4 linked regions of the Yarrowia lipolytica genome follow. The protein of the gene in region 1 purifies or fractionates together with the protein of each later gene. This does not show direct contact. Links are inferred from orthologs where the notes say so. Each region holds a gene or a part of one and is shown on either strand. Other genes may lie near its edges. The genes, in order: YALI1_B16194g, YALI1_D32424g, YALI1_D13126g and YALI1_E02317g.

Region 1 (4,140 bases):
TCTAAGGTTCTGTAATTAGGACTCCGTAACAGGTACGTCAAAACTTAGCTAACGTCATTCAAGAGTGTTTTTTCAAGAGTGTAGATGATAAATCAGATTTACAGTAAGTGAAGGAACCCCGCAAGGAAGGTGTCATCAGGAGGTCCATCAATAAAAGAATGTCTGATTTGGTTTGTTTGACGAAGAAAAATCTTCATGATTCTTGTCGATATGTGTTGGTGAATTTGCCCGTACAAGTACGAGTACTGTACGTACAGGTGTATTTGTATCACACCATGGAGGACCAATTCAGCAGTGATAAGAAAAAAACAAAAAAAAAGGAAGAAAAAAAAAAGACAGGAAACAAAGGCAATAACAACAACAGCAATATAATGTAATTGTACTTGTACCCGAGTGCCTGTTTTAGTTGCCCCGAACTTGTGCCTGTCACTTCCGGTAATGAACTATTAACCTAGCGTTGTTTGTACTTGTACTTGAGTTGTACCACGCGACGTGCACTCTTGTAGCTACAGTAGTTACAGTATAGATCGAGCACATAGGATAACTCATTTACGAAGTCAACCTGTTCCACTCTATCACAATATTACAAGTAGCCTACTGACACACCCTCTCCTCTATATCTACAATTACCTATACGTACATGATGCAAAAACCCCTGGGGTGCCTTAGGCGCTCTGGGGGTTGTTATTAATCTGGATCTTGTTGTCCTGGCCACCAGAGACAATACCCAGGTTTTGTTTCCAGTCCACGCCAAACACGGCATTGTTCTCTGTCAGAGTCTCTCGGTGGATCACGTGCAGAGACTTGGTGGTTCGAACATCCCATATTCGGACAGTTCCATCGTGAGATCCTGAAGCCAGCAGGAAGGGGTTGGATTCGGGTCCTCGCGACAGCGACGACACGAAGTTGGTGTGGCCCACCAGCTTGGCCTGAGTTGCCACCTGTGCAGTTACTCGGGGGTCGTGCAGGGTAATGTGACGGGCTGAAGAGCCGCAGGCAATGAGACCCTGGGGCAGGGTGCAAAGGGAAAGAAGCGAAAAGGAGGTGGATCGGGTATCGACCGAAGGATCGGGGGATCCGGCGTTGCTCTGGACAGCCTCGGCGGTGGCGAGATCCCAGGTTTTGATGGTGTGATCCAGAGACACAGAGTAGGCGACTGTGGGGTCGGAATGATGGAATGCGACGGCCGAAACGGCGGCGGAGTGGCCGCCCATGACTGCCAGAGGACCTCGCTGACGAGCAGCTCCCAGACCGGTGGCTCCAGAGCCGGAGTTGGCGAGCTTTCGTCGCTTCTGTGCAGAAGTGGAAGTCAGACCGCCAGCGGCAGCGGTATGGGGCTCAATTGCCGGCATGTCATTGTAGTCGGTAGACCACAGACCCACGGATCCGTCTGCGGAGGCGGAGATGATCTTTCCGGTCTTGGCGTGAACAGCAAGATCGTTGATGGGTGCGGTATGTCCATGTAGAGCTGCCATAGGGGTCACGGTAGAGGCGGCTGGAAGCTCATCGAGCATCTCCTCATCACTGTCCTCCTCACTGTCGTAGTTGAGCTCCTTCTTGCCCACCTGTCCAGGTTCCTTTCGTCGGTACTTCTTTCCGTCGGGGTTCCATAGGTACAAAAGTCGGTCGGAACCTCCAGAAACGAGCTGGTCATTAGAGATCCATCGCACAGCCTTGGCGGCGGAGTTGTGGCCCACAAGCTGGCCGGTCACATGACCCGAGTGGTCCCACAGACGCACGACTCCGTCGTAAGATCCCGAGGCGATGACGGGTTTCAGATCGCCAGTCCACCGGGCGTTGATATCGACAGCAGCGACCCAGTCGGGGTTGGAGAAAGAGGCCAGAAATGATGGAGGCAGCACAGATCGAATGTACTCGATCGACAGACTGACTTCGGAAGACAAACCGTTGTCAGCAAGGAAAGACTCCAGGGAGGCTCCTGGTCGTAGAAGCACCGAGGAAGAAGAGGCAGACTCCTCGTCGAGAATCGAAGCTCCTCCATCGCCGGCAGTAGCCTTCACAATGAGGAAATCAAGAGGAACAGGAGTCTCAGTGTCCAGCAGCTGGTTGACGATTTCAGACAGACCCAGACGCTTGAGGGAAGTAGGGACCATGACGGGAGGCAGGGGAGCCTCGGGCTGCAGGGTCTCGTCCCGGGTCACGAAGACCACCTTGACCGACTGCGATTCTTGGTTGGTCATCTCGGTAAAGTTGTGTGATGGGTTGTGTGTGGTGATAATAACGGTATGGTGATTTGTTTTGCCAGCTGCATTATTTTTTTTCCTGTATGCCGAGTTTAAATTTGTAGCCGTGGTTGGGAGGAGACATGGGCCTGGGAGGGTCTGAGGTTGGATCCAGAGAGGAGAGAGGGGAAGTGTTGTAATGTTGTAGTTGCTGTTGTGTTCTTAGTGTGAGGGGCAAAGTCGACGCTACCCAACCCTTTGTGTGCCTCAACCCCTGTTTGGAGCTCTTAATCACTACTCAATATTTTACACAGTACACACTCCATACAGTACAAGCATTCGTAGATAGCAAACTTTGAAGCAGAGATGAGTTGCGTCTTGATAATTACTGATCAGACGTTGATAGAGTGTAGGTAGCACAGTAGAAGGGATATATGGAAGGGCTTATAAATCACCCTAATCATAATAATTGGACAGTCGATCTTATTAAATTGTTCGTTCATCGCATCCCTTAGCCCTGCCAGTATGATCCCCGACGTCGCTTCAGCGTCACTCTACCAAACCCATCTGACACTTTTACAGTTCCAGGGTCCATCCCGAGACCGATGCCTGGGACACTGTACTGTGGACACTAAACTTACTGTAACTGAGACCTTGACAGTGAGATACAAAGATGGACTTTAAAAAACAGTAGTTTCTCATTTAAATGATCATAATACAATAAATTAATTAGATGATACAATTATACAGGCGTTCGCGTTTGCACAGACTTCTTCCGCTTGTTCGTGTTCATGCAGCCTGGGCCTGGGCTTGATGAATGGGAACCTCCCGGTCGGACCACCCATTCATCTGACGAAGAGCTGACTCTACCAGACTGTTGGGCTCAAATGAACAGGTGTCCTTGAGTGGCTGGCCTCGGTGAACAGGGTACTGCTTGAACCATAGCTTGGCAACTGCTCCACGGCAGTGGACACCCACAGTCTCAGCCACAGACTCAACGGCAGAGACCTGGTCGGGGAACAGACCAAACGCCTTGATGACCATATAACCAATAGCCATGAGCAGCACAGGCAGCCAGAAGGCAAATAACATGCGATCGTTAGCCATGGATCGTCGCTGTCGTCTCCAGGCCTCTACCAGCTGCTCCTCGTCCTCCACAATGGGGGCTAGTGGGGAGGGCACCACAGCGGCAGCCGCAGAAGTGGACGCAACTGCTGAAGATGAGGCTCCAACAGGCCCAGACGAGTTCTCGGCAGCAGAAGCAGCGGCCATCTGCACAACCTTCTTGTCGTGGACAACCCCATGGCCAGGGAAGATTTCTTCGTAGGCAGGGGGAGCACCGGCTCCGTTTGCATCTCGAGATCGAGACCGGGTGGCCTCATCGGCAGACGAGTTCTTCAGGTATCGCCACATTCGCGAGATGGACGAATGAGACCGGCCTCGACCGGCACCGCCGGAAGGGGCATGTGCAGAAATGGTTCGGTCGGACTCGTCTCCCGAAGACGTGATGGGATGGTCCGAAAGAGGCGATCTTGTGGATCTGACTGAAGGAGGAGCTCCAGAAGACCGCTTGTTGGGCACAGTAGCTCGCTTGGGTCTGTAAATGTAAGCCAGAACATCGTCCCAAGATGCCATGCTGAGAGTACGGTCAAAGTACCGTGAAAAGGACTTGTTCTCAGTGGAAGTGTCAGATCTCACGTGATCCGAGTCATTGGAAGACACCACGTCGGGTACATTGCTACTGACGATTCCGGCAGCCACACGGGCCTCCACAGCCTGGTCTTCGGCCTCAATGTGTCGCACAAGTCGCTCTTCCTCCTCAGAGAGAGGAGATTCCACAGACTTGGCCTTGGCGTGCTTTCTAACAGACATGAAGAGCGCGTCTGAGTCATCGTCTGAGTCCTCATCTGAATCGTCGTCAAAGTCTCCATCCTCCTCATCTCGCTCGTCCCACTCG
Region 2 (5,059 bases), on another chromosome or scaffold:
TTTGGAATAGTTGGGAAATAGTTGAGAAATAGTTGAAGTGCACTGGGGGTATGTATGTAATTTGGTGTTCCAGAGATGCTGAAGCCACAAAAAGGATACCAGACGATAGATAATGAAGGATTTGATGACAAAAATGATATTTCTGGTAATTTTTATCATACAAAATCTCGAGTTGTGGAGCATTTCTTATCCTATCGAAGTCAACGTTACTTGGTCATTTGTTGGGAATTACTTGAGAACAATTCTGGGTTTTTTTTATAAACGTGATATTCTAGTTTTATTTTCTATAGTGCAATGGGCCGTGGCTCGGAAATATTCCAGTCTCGTGATGAGGAGATGGAACGGAGACGAAACAAAATGTTCTCGTGACATGGTAGTAGATGGGTGGGTTTGTTCTTCAAGAGTGTGTAGAAACTTCGGCGAGTCGAGATTGGTGGTTGGTGGTGGTGGTGGTGTCAGATGTACATGTGAGATCAACTGCGAGCATGAGGACATGTGAGGTCAAACACTCATCATAGAAGTCCCCAAAAGAGTCACTAAACGACGCCCTCCAGAAGACCCACGTGACTTTTCACGTGACCAAACAAAAAACCACCTAACCAGCGACCTCCTCGATCAACCCCAATCCTCCGAAGACTCCTCTTAACGCCCTCCACGACCTCCTCCACGACCTCCACGACCTCCACCCCTGCCACCCCGACTCGGCCGGGCATTCTTCTGCTTGCGCTTCTCGGCCAGGATTCGGCTCTTTCGAACATCGGCGGTGGACTTGAGCTCGCTCTTGGGCTGGGGTTTCTGGATTCGTCCGTCTTCCTTGGCAGCGGCGACCTTGGTCTTTTGCTTGTGGAAATCGTCTCGGTACTTGTCGGCTCGTTTGGGGGCTTCGTTTTTGTTGTGTTTGAACTCTCGCGCAGACAAAACCCGCTTAGTGGCAGGCCCAGACTCCTCCAGAGCGCCAACCTTGAGATTGCCGACCTTGTGGGCGGCCTTCCACTTATCGAATCGGCCCGACCGGAACGACGCGGCGATTCGCTGGCCTCCCTCACCTCGAATGAACTTCTTGCCACCCTCCGAGCCCGCGTTGATGAACTTACCCTTCTTCTTGTCCCACTTCATGCCCTGTTTCTGCTGCATTTCCGAGCCGTCGTTGATGAGATCAAACGTGGCATTGGACGCAGCCCCGGCAAAGTTGCCCACAGCATAGCCCTTATCGTCGTTGGTGGGTGCGTAGTGGGACATGAAGTTCTCCGAGTCTCTGAAGGAGCGCTTCTTGGACTTTTGCGCCTTCTTGGCCGCCCGAAGATCCTCCTCCGTAGTGAACCCGGTGAGATCCGCCTCGGTAGCCATATCTTCCTCGGTAGACCGGGCAATCTCCGCATCCTGCGAATGAACCAGACCCGCCAGCCGCTCCTTTTCCTGAATGGCACGCTTTTCCGCGGCCCGGCGCTGGATCGGAGCCAGCTGGGCCCGACGAGTGGCCATCATCTCGGCGCCAGAGGTGGTTTTGCTCTTGCGGAACTCAAACACCGTTTCTCGAATGCGCTTCTGGCCCAATCGTGCCAACAACGCGTCCTTGGCAGACTCGCCATCCTCGCCAAACATGAGATGATGGTCGTCCCATCCCAGTGCCATAATCTGCTTTGACCGCTTGGCCGACTCCTGAGAAGCACTTCCCTTGGTCTTGTTGTACATTCGCTCGCCCTTGACCGCAACCTCCGACAGCTGCTGCAGCTCGTACGAGTCCTTGACCATCTGGGCGAGCTCCTCGCCGTGGATTTCGAGCGCCTGGCGCGGAGGAGCTCCAATTGTCAGAGTGTTGACGTAATCGGGCTCGGCCGAAGGGTCGGGATTCTGTTGCTTGAACAACCGAGGAGTCAGTAGCTTGCGGCCCAAAAACACCTCCAGATCCAACAGATACGGAATGTCGTTGTCCTTGATGATGGAATAAGCCCATCCGCGGTTGCCGGCTCGAGCTGTTCGACCCACACGATGGATAAACACCTTGGGGGACGGAGGAAGCGAATAATTGATAACATTGGCCAGAACAGGCACATCAATACCTCGCGCAGCCACATCAGTGACCACCAAGATAGACGTTTTGCCCGTGCGGAACCGATACAGCTGGTTCTTACGAGCATGCTGGTCCAACGTGCCGTAAATGTACGAAACCGCGTACCCCAGAGTTTGAAGCAAGACAATGACATACTCCACATGATGCTTGGTGGGACAGAAGACGATGGTCGACTTTTCCGAGGGCAATTGGTGCGCAGGGGGCAGCCGTTCTTTCTTGAACTTGGGCCGTTTTTGTTTCCGGTCCTCATCCCGTTCTCCGTCGTCAATGGCCCGTTCATCCAGTCGCTCGAGCTCTTTGAGCTGCTCCGGCGTTGCAAACGGCATCTGGATCACCTCCTTGAGAATGAAGGCCAAGCAGGCGTCTCGCTGGTTCTCCTTGACGGCAAAAAACGTCATTTCCAAATGCTCTGGCAACTTGGTCTCGGCATCCAGACGAACCAGAATCGGGTCGTGAAGACCAGCCTTGGCAAACTCCACCAGCGTCTTGGGAAGCGTGGCGGAAAACAGCAGAGTCTGTCTGTTGCTGGGCAACGACGCTAACAGCTCGTTCATCTGCTCACCAAAACCCAGCTCGAACAGCCGGTCGGCCTCGTCGAAACAAATGTACTCCACCGACGCCAACGACAGCTCCATCTCCACCTTGAGATGCAGAAACCGGCCTGGGGTGGCGATAATAATGTCTGGATTGGACATCATCATTTTGAACTGCTCCTCCAGCGAATCGCCTCCAACCAACATGGCCAGACGCAGATCGGTGCCGGCAGAAAAGTCCTTGACCACCTTGAGCGTCTGCAGCGCTAGCTCACGTGACGGCGACAGAATCACCGCCCGCGCGCCCACCTTGGCGCTGTGGACCTTGAGCTTCTCCAACATGGGCAGCACAAACGCCGCTGTCTTGCCACTTCCGGTTCGGGCCATTCCCACCACGTCTTTGCCCTCCAGAACCAGCGGAATCGTCTTTCGCTGGATCGGCGTCGGCTGCTTGAACCCCTTTCGTGCAATATTTTTAAGCACCAACTGCGACAAACCCAGACCAGCAAAACTGCCCGAGCTTTTTTTGCCCGTTTGCGGTGCTCCAAAGTAGCTTTCCACCGAGTCGTCCGTCTTTTTCTTCTTCTTCTTTCTGCCCTCGTCGTCATCGTCGTCGTCGTCATCGTCATCGGACAGTTCCAGATTGGGGAAAGTCATGGTGCCCGGTTCGCCCTGCTGGGGCCCGGTCTCATCTTCACTGTCCTCAATAATGTCGGGAATCTCGCTGTCGGACTCTGATCCGGACGAATAGTCGTCTTCCGAATCCACCCCCGGATTCAAAGACCCCGCAATGTCGTATTCAACCTCACTGTCGGACATTTTCGTGCTGAAGTGTGGTATGTAGTAGGCTGTGAGATAGGGATAGATTCCAGGTAGAATTTATTGAGATAAGGTTTGGAAAAAAAATTAGAGGATAACTTTAAATATATATATATATATATTTTCAAGAAAAATCGAAACCTCGTCAGTTCGAGTTTGAGCACGACATTACTTGCAACATGCGAACTTGAAGAGAGCGAGAAATTGAACCATTTGAAAGAATAGATACAACATGAAACAGTCTAAGTGTATTTTCTTAATCAAATTTTGACCCGGTAGAACCCGAGATAGACGTGCAACCACCTGAACAGTTGCTTAGTTGGCGAAAATGGACATCGCAAGAGATATTGAGGAAAAACGGGTGGTTGAAATGGATTTCTGGAAGGAAGAGGAGTCCATTGGTATCTTCTAGTATGTTTCAGCTCAACTAGAACGCTCATTAAACCCATTCTCAATTCAGACCTCATACTGTTCGTAAAATGAGTAATTTTGAAAATGTAGAAAAAGTAATAGAATCAGTGGATAGCTTAGATCAAGAGAAATCCAATGGTGAACTCCATTTTCTTGTAGCTCTTCCCCATGGCTAGCTAAGTGCTTGTATAGAGACTCTGAGCATAGGAGACAATAAGTGATCGTTGCTTGAACTAGTCTGAAAGTCCGATTAAATCAATAAAAACTAAGACTAAAACTAGTACCAATGGTCAACCACAAACGCCACCATTCCAATCATATCATTATTTTCTCAATTTGATATTGTTTTACTATAGCTTGGGCAGATTCAATGATTTCTCATTCGCCACCGGTCTTAAACGTGTCTTATAGAATGTCTAATAGTGGTCAAATTTGTCTGATAAATTAACAGTTTCTCTATTCAAACCAGTATGATCAAATTAAGCCTGCTCCCAGCTCATTCCAGACAGTATTCATTATTCTCCAAAATGCCCCCAACCTCGAATCGAACCCACAAACACATTCACTCCCATCATTTCCAGATCACCACTGTCCAGATCACAGTCTGATCAACAACCTCCTCGACCTCCACAACCACCATGGGCTCTTCCGCAAGTAAGGCGAAGCGTTTCCAGCCCGCAGCCGAGGCCGGCAAGCGCGCCATCGATCTGTCCGTGAAAACCAAACATCAGCACATTCGCCAAGAGACGGCCGACCCCAATCGGTCGCAACCGGCTCCCATGCCCATGGCTTCGCAGACCAAGAACGAGGACATTGTCAGGGACGGCGGGGACCGAGATTTCGCGCGGCAGCTCATGGATCTCGGGGCCGTCAAACTGACCGAGTCTGAGGTCCAATACAGCAAGAGCAATCCTGTTTTGGAGGCTCTGAAGGCTCGCGAGGCCCTGGATGAGGCCGCTGAGGCCGAGTCTGGGGACTTTAGCAAGCCCCGAACGCTCCTGAACCCGGCCACCATCTCCGGAATTCTCGAGTCGCAAAAGGCTGGCGAAACAGACATCACTAGAGACTACAATCTGGCTCCCGGAGTGGCCGACAAGTTGAAGTATGTGAGTGTCCCCGAATACGAGTTTCTGGAGACCGCTGCGACCGAGGGAGAACGACACAGAGATACCTTTTCGCTGGACGGCGGCCGAGAAGACCCGGCTCTCAGCAAACTGGCCGATTC
Region 3 (4,728 bases), on another chromosome or scaffold:
CGCAAGGAGACGGTAAATGGCACTTTACTGATAGTTTTTGTAATGAAGAGAACGTCAACTCTCTAATACCCGTAAAATCTCATTCCATCAGCAACCGTTACCTGTAGATATGAGTCCTGATGACGATGCCATTTTCCAGTCGCAAAAATAAGGTTCATCACTCCGTCTTAATTACACCCTCGAATTTCATCTCGGCCATGCATCCCATAGTGCCTCAACCTGGCTCTGTGGCGGACAGTCAACGCAACACAAATATGGTGAAGCCGCGCTCCAAGGTGGAAAAGCCCTCCAGCAAGAAAAAAACGTCCGGCAAGGATAAATCCAAATCCGAGGAGGTGATGAAGGTGGAGCAACATGAGGGAGATGAGACGGAAGAACAGGTTGAAGAGAAGGAGAAATCCGAGGAGGTGGAGAAGTCTCCACAAGTGAACGTCAAAGAAGAAGACACTCCACAGGAAGCTCTCAACTCACCCGAGGTGTCTCAATCTTCGGAACTGGCCGAAAACACAGACTACATTGCTCTGACTTCTGCGCTGTCCATGCTTACGAGACAGCAAGAGACGAGCAAAAGAGACTTGGTCAAACTGTCGCAAATGAGACAGCAGGCGGTGGAGCAACCCGAGCAGTTTTTGGAAAAGGTCAAGAGCGGACAAGTGTCTTTCCCCAAGGCTCTCTATGTCACCATGGTTCCTTCAATCGACTGGAACCAGTACGACTTTGATAACCGAGAGTTGGACGCTGTTATCGGGCGTCAGAGAAAGGAGTCAGAAAAGGGTGTTGTTGAAGAGGTTCCGTTGTTTAACCAGTAGTGGACTGTACACCAAGAGGCTACAGTACTCATCAAACAACAATTTATGACACAGTACCTCCAGTGTCTTGGTATTTATAGGTAAAATGTATTATTATTGTATTATTATTGTAGCACTACTACCGTACAAGAATTACATTCCGTATTGTATGCAATCTATTATCTAGTTAGGTCACTCCACAGTGGCGTTGGAAAAGTCCACGTTATAGGTGGGATCATCCTTTCGAGAAATCTTTCGGTACTCGTCAATAACCTTTTGTCGCTCGGCCTCGAGAATGAGACGCCGGGCGTTGTCTCCGGAAGCCTTGGGGACGTTAGGAAGCAGCTTTCGAGGCAGATTCAGCACAGGGGGAGCGTCAGCCACCTCTCCAAACTTGGCCTTCTTGTTCTTCTTTTCTAGCACGGCCCAAGGATCGGGCGACTTATCTCTCTGCTTCTTGGGGAAGAACAGGTCGTTCTTGAGCCGTTTCTCATCCATCCCGTCTCCCTCCTCTGCAGCCTCATCGGCCTTCTTGTAGTCCATCTCGTTCTGCAGAACCCGGTTCTTCTGCTTCTGAATGTTCTTCTTGTCAAGCCGTGTGAGCTCCTTGGCGTTTTCCGACTTGCGGGGCTTCGCATTGGGCAGCGCTTCGTCAACTCTTCGAGAGAAGTCCGCCCACGACTCACCGGGTTTCATTTGCAGCTCGGAGTTCTCATGCGAAATGTGTTTGTTGGTAGGGTACAGTTCCTTCTTTTGCTTCTTTCGGCCCCTCTCCTCCTCCTGGCTCTGGGCAGTTCGCTCCTGGCGGGCCATCATTCGCTTGAAGCTCTTGGGGGTATCGTCATCGTGACTGTCGTTGTAGTTGTCCTTGGCGAACTTCCCCTTCTTCTTGGTGAACTTGCTCTTCTTTCGGTTAGAGAAGTCCTCGGGGTCCTGGTCCAGCGGTACCACCTCTCGTTTGAGCACGTTTCTCGGTCGTTTTCGGGGCATTTGTGTATGGTGATGAGTATATCTGAAGTATCTTGGAACTACAGTGATGCTGGAATAAACTTGCACTGCATGAAATTATTTTTCTGACGACAAACCTTATTCAAGAAATTTACAGACATGCTGCTACGAGGATATTGGTGATATAACAACGCCATACACAGACACACAAACACACAATGGTGAAACGATCGCGAGACGTGGCCAAGTTTGAAAAGCGGGCCAAGGCTCGGCAGGAGCAGGACAGCAAGCTTGCGCAATCATGGCAGTACATCAAAGACTCTGACAACGAGGAGGATGAGGACTATGGACCTCGATCTTTCAAGGAGGAAGAATCTCTCGGTGAAATGCTGCCTGTGCGAGGCGAAGACGGCCAGATCAAGCGGGTGATGCGCAAGAAGGGCGACAAAATCAGCAAGCGAAAGCTGGAGGAGCAAGCTGAGAGACAGCGACAGGAGGAAGAGGAGGAGGCAGCTCGAGAGGCAGCAGAGGCAGCAGCAGCAGAACAGGCAGCCAAGGAGGCCGCCGAGAAGGAAGAGGAGGACGACATTGGCGATTCTGATTTCGAGGAGGAAGACGAGGTCACTGGAGAGGCCCGATTTCGAAAGGCCCAGGCCGAGATTGCAGAACTGGCCGACCAGCTCAACGAGGACGCCGAGGAGAACATTCACTGTCTGCGCAAGATTCGGGAGCTCATGGGTCGAAAGCAGTCATTCCGGGTGGTACAACTGACGATTCTGTCGCTGGTTCCTATTTTCCAGTCGATCATTCCTGGTTACAAAATCAGACCCTTAACCGAGGCCGAAAAGCGAGAAAAGGTGTCTAAGGAGGTCAAGAGACTACGAAACTTCGAGACGTCGCTGCTGCAGAACTACAAGGCGTATCTAGACTACATTAGCAAGTTTTCCAAGAAGGCCCGAGGCTCCACTGAAGGCACCATGAAACGAATTTTGGGAGACTCGTGCGTGGTGGCAGCCTGCGAACTTCTCAAGACGTCTGCGTACTTCAACTTCAGATCTGACCTCGTGGCGATTGTGGTGAACCGTGTGGGACAGAAGCCCTACGACGCCAACTACTTCAAGGCGTTGTCCACCATCGAGTCTCTGTTTGAGGACGACTTCGAGGGTTCTGCTGTGAAGGAGATTGTCATGTCCTTGTCCAAGATGATCCGTGCAAAGAAGTATAGAATTGACGAGTCGTTGCTCAACTCACTGCTTAAACTGCGGTTGCTGACAGAGCTCGACGCCAGAGCTTCCCAGAGACACGTGGAGTCTCAACAAGCACCGACAGCCAAGGTGCGAAAGAAGGACCGAGTGCACCTGACCAAGAAGCAGCGAAAAACGCTCAAGGAGAAGAAGGAGATCGACGAGGAGATGCTAAAGGCAGAGATGGCGGTATCGACCGAGGAGCGAGAGAAGATCCAGGGAGAGACGCTCAAAATCGTCTTTGTTCTGTACTTTAACATTCTCAAGGAACGACCACAGCATCTCATGGCAGCCACTCTGGAGGGTCTGGCCAAATTTTCGCATCTCATCAACGCCGACTTCTTTGGCGATCTGCTGGAGGTGCTACGGGAGCTCATCACCGAGCGTCAAATCCGATACACCGACGACGGAAAGCAAGAGTTCTTGGAAACCTCTACCCGAGAGGCTCTTCTGTGTATTGTCACTGCATTCGTGCTGCTTGGAGGCCAGGTGGGCGAGTCCATGAACCTCGATCTGACCTTCTTCATCAACCACTTCTACTCGTCACTCTACGCTCTGGGTCTCAACCCCGACATTGAGCTGTCACACAAGTCTCTTCGTCTTGATGATCCCAACACCAACGAGTCCGCCAGCAATAAGCGGTCCAAAATCAACGTGGCCACAGAGATGGAGATGGTGGTGAGGTCGTTCGAGGGTATTTTCTTGCAGCAGAAGCACGTGTCTCGGCTGCGAGTCCAGGCTTTTGCGAAGAGACTGGCTACCATCTGTCTCCAGCTACCCGAAAAGTCGTGCATGGCCGGTCTCAAGATTCTCGACCGGCTCAATAAGAAGTTCACCGTTATGACCGCTCTGTACTCGTCCGACGACCGAATCACCAACGGAGTGTACCGAATGGACGTGGACCAACCCGACCATGCCAACCCCGAAGCATCTACCATCTGGGAGACAGTGTTGCTGGAGAAACACTTCTCGCCAGACATTGCCAAGGCCGCCAAACTGGTGCCCCGAAACGTCAAGAAGAACAAGCATTAGAGAGGATTATAGAAATGTATATTTGGACAACAGGAATAGCTAGTGAGTGACTGAGTGTAAACAGTGTGTTATAGATGAGTAAATCTACCATACGATTCATCTGAATGTATAGGCAAAGCTCTATAGGAGCTACAGTTACTCAGCAACTGCACCTGCGTTTGATTATGCCGTATCTGACAATGACGCAATCAATAGTATCCATTATGGAAAATGAGGATCCAGTAACTATGTATTCATTCAGACATAACACAACATACGATAAGACGTGGAAAGGGGTCATAGAGAGAGACCCCCACCTTTCCGATGGACATAGTCTATGGGAAATGCAGGTCAGGATGCTTTCAGATGTTTTGAGAACTCTCAAACAACTGTAGTGAGTACACAGGAATGAAAGTAGTTGTAATATCTTCTGTACTGTGGTAGCTGAGTTCAGAGCTCTCTCTTGACATTAGTAGGTTCGTATAACAAACGTCGGTCGATCTGCGTCAGTACCTCGATTATGCTATTCAAATGCAGAACACCTCCGTTGATATCACCACGACCCATGCTCTACATTGTCTTGTATCAGATACGTTTTATACTTCTGCTGTTCCCTATCTTCAAGGTCAAGATTATCAGCCATATCTGACAGCATCAATTTTCTCGATATGACAACTTGCAAACCTGGACTTGGGCCTGCAGCCACTCAAGCCTTGAATGCGGATGTCAATGGGGAC
Region 4 (4,371 bases), on another chromosome or scaffold:
TCTGGGGAGTGTGTCGGAACCTTACCGCCATGGAGGGTCTCGGAAGAAAACAGGGAGACATGGTTCTAGTCAACTTCAGATATGAAGGCAAGAGAATCATCCAACCTCTGCGAGAAGAGGACCCGCTGCCGTTCGACCAAGGCTTTGCAAAGAACTGGAGACAGGTTTTTGGAACCAACCCACTCATTTGGTTCCTTCCCTTTCCAGTCGTACCTGCTGCAGAAGACTACTTTTCCAATGCTTACGGACAGAAGTTCCTTGAGCGCATTCCAGCCAGGTGGCTGGAGGGTGACGGACGGGAAATGGCAGCGGTTTAGGACCTTGAAGGACAATTATAATCGCATAATACGGCTACACGCATCATCGGGCTGGCCAACCGAACATTTGAGATCTCATATTAAACACTAACATCAATGCATTGGTATATCTAAGTATGTATACATACTAATGTACAGGTACTCCTTACAAATACTGGAACCAGTACTGACAAGTAATTCTCAGCTAAGCGTATTTGAATTGTACAGATATACTTCTATTGCCATGCACCACTCATAATTCGTTCTAATGTCGTTTTATTACTTTCCTTATCCACTATCTATTATGCAATCTACCGTGTGAACTTCTTTCCGCCGGGTCCACCTCTCTTCTTGTGGTTGTCCTTACCCTTGATGCTCTTGGCGCCCTTACCGGAAGCTCCAATGGAAATGTTCACCTTGGGAGGCACATTGAAACCGAAGGACTTGGCCACCTTGACCAGATCGAGCTTGTCGATCTGGTAGACGGTCTTGAGGTGGTGCGAGGCGTATGCTTGCAGATAGGCTCGATATCCGTCCTTGGCAGAGGTGTTGAGCCAGTAGTTGGACGAGATGAGCTTCTCCAGCTGGCTCTGCACGTTGGCAATCTTCTTGTTGGGGAACTCGTACTCGTTGAGAGGCACCTTGGCAGCCTTGAGGTATCGCAGGAAGCCAAGCTCGGAGGGGGTCAGGAACATGATGGACTTTCCGGAGGCAGAACCTCGGGCAGTTCGTCCGACTCGGTGAATGTAGTCTCGGGGATCATCCGGAGGATCGAACTGGATAATCCAGTCAACCTTGGGAATATCCAGACCTCGTGCAGCCACATCAGTGCAGATTAGAACTCCCTGCTTGGCGTTAATGAACTCGAAGAAAGTGTTGGTTCGTTTCTGCTGCTTCTGCTTGCCGTGCAGATCGAGAACGGGCAGATCGATGTAGTTGAGCAGCTCTCCGTAGAACTTGACCGAGTTACAAGACGAAAGGAAGACAATGATCTTCTTGCCTGCGTTTCGCTTCAGGAAGGAGAACAGCAGCAGGAACCGCTTGTCAGAATCGCACACAACGTAGCCCTGCTCGAGACCCTCGGCGGTGGAGCTGACGTTGTGTTCGTCGACGTTAAGGTAGAGGGGACCCTTCTTGAGCGAAATTCGGGCCAGATCCTCGACCTTGGTGGTCTGTGTGGCTGAGAAGAGCATGGACTGTCGCTCCTTGGGGAGAATCTTGATAATCTCCTTCATTTCTTGCTCGAAACCGATCTCGAGAATTCGGTCGGCCTCATCGATAATAAGAGCCTTGAGGTTCTTGAAGACAAAGCCCTGGGAGTTCTGCAGATGATCGAGAAGTCGACCGGGGGTACACACCAGCAGGTTGACTCCCTTGTTGAGCTTCTCTTCCTCCTGTCGTCGGTTATTTCCACCAATCACAATGCCAAGGGTCTGGGAGTGGTTAGCCATGAGATCTCGAGCCACTCCGTAGATCTGGAGGGCCAGCTCTCGGGTGGGAGACACCACAATCACACCAGTACCGTTTCGAGGCTTGAACTTGAGTTTCCGCAGCATCTCGATGGCGGGAATCAGGAATGCCAGAGTCTTACCGGATCCGGTCTTGGCAGCTCCCAAAACATCTCGGCCAGCAAGCAGAGGAGGGATGGTCTTCTCCTGGACTGGAGTCATGGTCTCAAATCCCATGTCCTTCAGACTCTGCATGGTGTTCTCAGACAGAGGAATTGTGCTGAATGGCTTTCGCTCGGCGTCTGAGGCAATGTGGACAACCTCAGCGTCAGCGGGCGCAGTAGTGACAACGGCAGTGGACTCCTCTTCCTCGAGATCAGAGCCCTCTCCGTCATCTTCCTCCTCGATTTCGACGTCCTTTTCATCGTCATCGCTCATCTCGGAGTCCTCATTTCCGTTGGTCTCCTCCTCGTCTTCCTCCTCAACGTCTCCCTTCTCAAGGAGACCCTCAACCTCATCGAACTCATCATCGAGCTCATCAACCTCGTCCTTGGACTTGGAGGGCTTGGCGGACTTGGCGGGCTTGGACGAGGGCTTCTCGACCTTGGCCTTCTTATCGGCCTTGCCCTTCACCACGCTTCGGGCTTTCTTTTCGACTTTTTCCTTCTTGGTCAGACCCATGATTGTGCAATTAGGAGTGTGTTCCAATTTTTTACGCCTTTCATGCAATATCGAGAAAAATTTCGAACTGTAAAACTGTAACCTTATCTGCTCATAACATGTGTTGTATGGTGGCAATGTACATGCAGCACTACAGTACTCATAGCATTACGAACAAAACTCGCCTATTAGTGAATAACAGTCCAATTCAAAATATTGAGATTCGAATCTATATAAAACGTACAAGTGTCCTACTCAGTTGTGTAGGACTCAAATCACCATTGATCGTAGGTGTACATACTGTAGTATGCTTCGCTAGTCGTCATATAGTTAGCTGTGGCACCACACAATCCCCTAATCAAGAGGAGTATCAAGCCCGAGATCGGAAGACTTCTCAATGATAGGACTGGACTTGAGCTCAAACTTGGCTCCAGCATACTCTTTGGCCAGGTTGAGTCCAAGAGAGCCATGGACAGTATTGTTGTCATCGACAATGTACAGACCGTCGAGACCCTCAATCTTTACCAGAGAAGAAGCGGCGTGGTTGTCAAGGTATTCATTGACCTCTGCCTGGGTCTGGAACGTCTTGTTGCCTCGAGGAGTATAGCCCAACTGCTGGAGGCTCATTTTGGGATGGAAGTTGGAAAGCACTTTATGTTTGAATGTCCCTAGATCAGCTTTGTCTTTCGAAGAGTGTGACAAGAGCTGCTAGAGATGATTGTGAAATGTCGAAGACGGTTTAGACGGTTGACAAGGATCCCCACACATTTGCCACGCATTGTTGCTGTAGTTATGTTACCCTTACCCTTGATTACAGTTCGATAAGGTACGTTGAACGAGGATCTATTGGTATGGTTGAGGTCACGGGAGTGGTTGAGGGAGTTTCTAGTCCGGTACACTTTATAATTTTCGGCCCGTGATTACCATTTGACAGGATTTGGTGACAGATCACCTCAACTACTCTCTCTGTTCGTATGGCCTCCACTATGCAGCATTCATGCATGAACGTTCATCTAAACACCGTTTTAAACATTCTGAGACTCGCCTTCAAACACGCCTCGCACACAACTTCAGCCATGACAACAAGAGACCGTCAAATGACCCAGCTCAAGTCGCAGCTCGCGCAGCTTGAGGCTAATCTGGTTGACATGAGCAACCTCATGGAACGGACCACAGAACAAGCATTGCACATCAGAGAACTCGGCATTCTTCACGCGTCAATGTGAGTATTTGAGACATATGAAGGAGCCCACAAGCCAATGCTAACCACGAGATTCATGTCAGCACATGCCGCTTTCGAAAATGAGACGTTTCAGGCTGGCCAGGCAGAGGAAAAGATGATGGAGTCTGAGTATGAGGAGTAACTAAAGCTATTACGCGTCTCAACACAGTCAACCCACCCCATATTTATACAGTGTCGGAAAAGCACACCCAAGCATCCATGTTAATATATATACAAATAATAATTACTTATGGTACTATATACACTTTGGTTTTAAGTAGTCTGTAGGACCTTTATGCGCGGAAGATTTTACTGGCTCGGTTTCCACCCTTCTCCTTGCCTCGTTGTTGGAACTTGACCATCCACGCTCGCATTCGTTCACTTTCCTTCTGATTGTACGTGTCAAACGCCTCAGGAGTAGCTGCGTCGAGCATGACCTTACCTTTTTTTCCGCTGACCCACTCGTTGATCCACCGCAGAGCAGTTCCAGCGTCCTGGTTAGGAGTTGACCGCCACTTGCGCCGCAGTGCAACAAGAATATCGTTGATATCGTTGGTGGGAGGACACAGATCACGGTAACTCTTGGGATCATCTCTGTTGAGTGCGTACAAGAGGTAGTCAGCCTGAACGATAGGATCAACAAGACTCTCCTTGATGCACTTGAGAAGGGCGAGCTTGATCATAGTCTCACTGTTGGCAATACTTGGCATGAACAGACCTGGGGAATCAAACACAAAGATGTTAG

Evidence for each region.
Region 2: the proteins of YALI1_B16194g (region 1) and YALI1_D32424g purify together in Saccharomyces cerevisiae (affinity purification with mass spectrometry; 6 studies listed by BioGRID). This does not show direct contact. The link is inferred for Yarrowia lipolytica from reciprocal best matches to the Saccharomyces cerevisiae genes YTM1 and DBP10.
Region 3: the proteins of YALI1_B16194g (region 1) and YALI1_D13126g purify together in Saccharomyces cerevisiae (affinity purification with mass spectrometry; 5 studies listed by BioGRID). This does not show direct contact. The link is inferred for Yarrowia lipolytica from reciprocal best matches to the Saccharomyces cerevisiae genes YTM1 and NOC3.
Region 4: the proteins of YALI1_B16194g (region 1) and YALI1_E02317g purify together in Saccharomyces cerevisiae (affinity purification with mass spectrometry; 6 studies listed by BioGRID). This does not show direct contact. The link is inferred for Yarrowia lipolytica from reciprocal best matches to the Saccharomyces cerevisiae genes YTM1 and HAS1.

Annotation. Positions count from the first base shown.
Region 1 is NC_090771.1:1,617,200-1,621,339, forward strand, and holds YALI1_B16194g (uncharacterized protein), read right to left. Parts: upstream 2,202-4,140; coding exon 666-2,201; downstream 1-665. Other genes in the region: YALI1_B16239g (uncharacterized protein), read right to left, coding at 2,973-4,140. UniProt on the Saccharomyces cerevisiae protein: Component of the NOP7 complex, which is required for maturation of the 25S and 5.8S ribosomal RNAs and formation of the 60S ribosome.
Region 2 is NC_090773.1:3,238,950-3,244,008, forward strand, and holds YALI1_D32424g (uncharacterized protein), read right to left. Parts: upstream 3,424-5,059; coding exon 643-3,423; downstream 1-642. Other genes in the region: YALI1_D32435g (uncharacterized protein), read left to right, coding at 4,473-5,059. UniProt on the Saccharomyces cerevisiae protein: ATP-binding RNA helicase involved in the biogenesis of 60S ribosomal subunits and is required for the normal formation of 25S and 5.8S rRNAs.
Region 3 is NC_090773.1:1,310,690-1,315,417, forward strand, and holds YALI1_D13126g (uncharacterized protein), read left to right. Parts: upstream 1-1,954; coding exon 1,955-4,012; downstream 4,013-4,728. Other genes in the region: YALI1_D13108g (uncharacterized protein), read left to right, coding at 120-809; YALI1_D13124g (uncharacterized protein), read right to left, coding at 981-1,778. UniProt on the Saccharomyces cerevisiae protein: Required for synthesis of 60S ribosomal subunits and the transport of pre-ribosomes from the nucleoplasm to the cytoplasm. Also required for initiation of DNA replication.
Region 4 is NC_090774.1:229,813-234,183, reverse strand, and holds YALI1_E02317g (uncharacterized protein), read right to left. Parts: upstream 2,426-4,371; coding exon 608-2,425; downstream 1-607. Other genes in the region: YALI1_E02348g (uncharacterized protein), read left to right, coding at 1-317; YALI1_E02305g (uncharacterized protein), read left to right, coding at 3,481-3,626, 3,678-3,768; YALI1_E02290g (uncharacterized protein), read right to left, coding at 3,920-4,371. UniProt on the Saccharomyces cerevisiae protein: ATP-dependent RNA helicase involved in 40S ribosomal subunit biogenesis. Required for the processing and cleavage of 35S pre-rRNA at sites A0, A1, and A2, leading to mature 18S rRNA.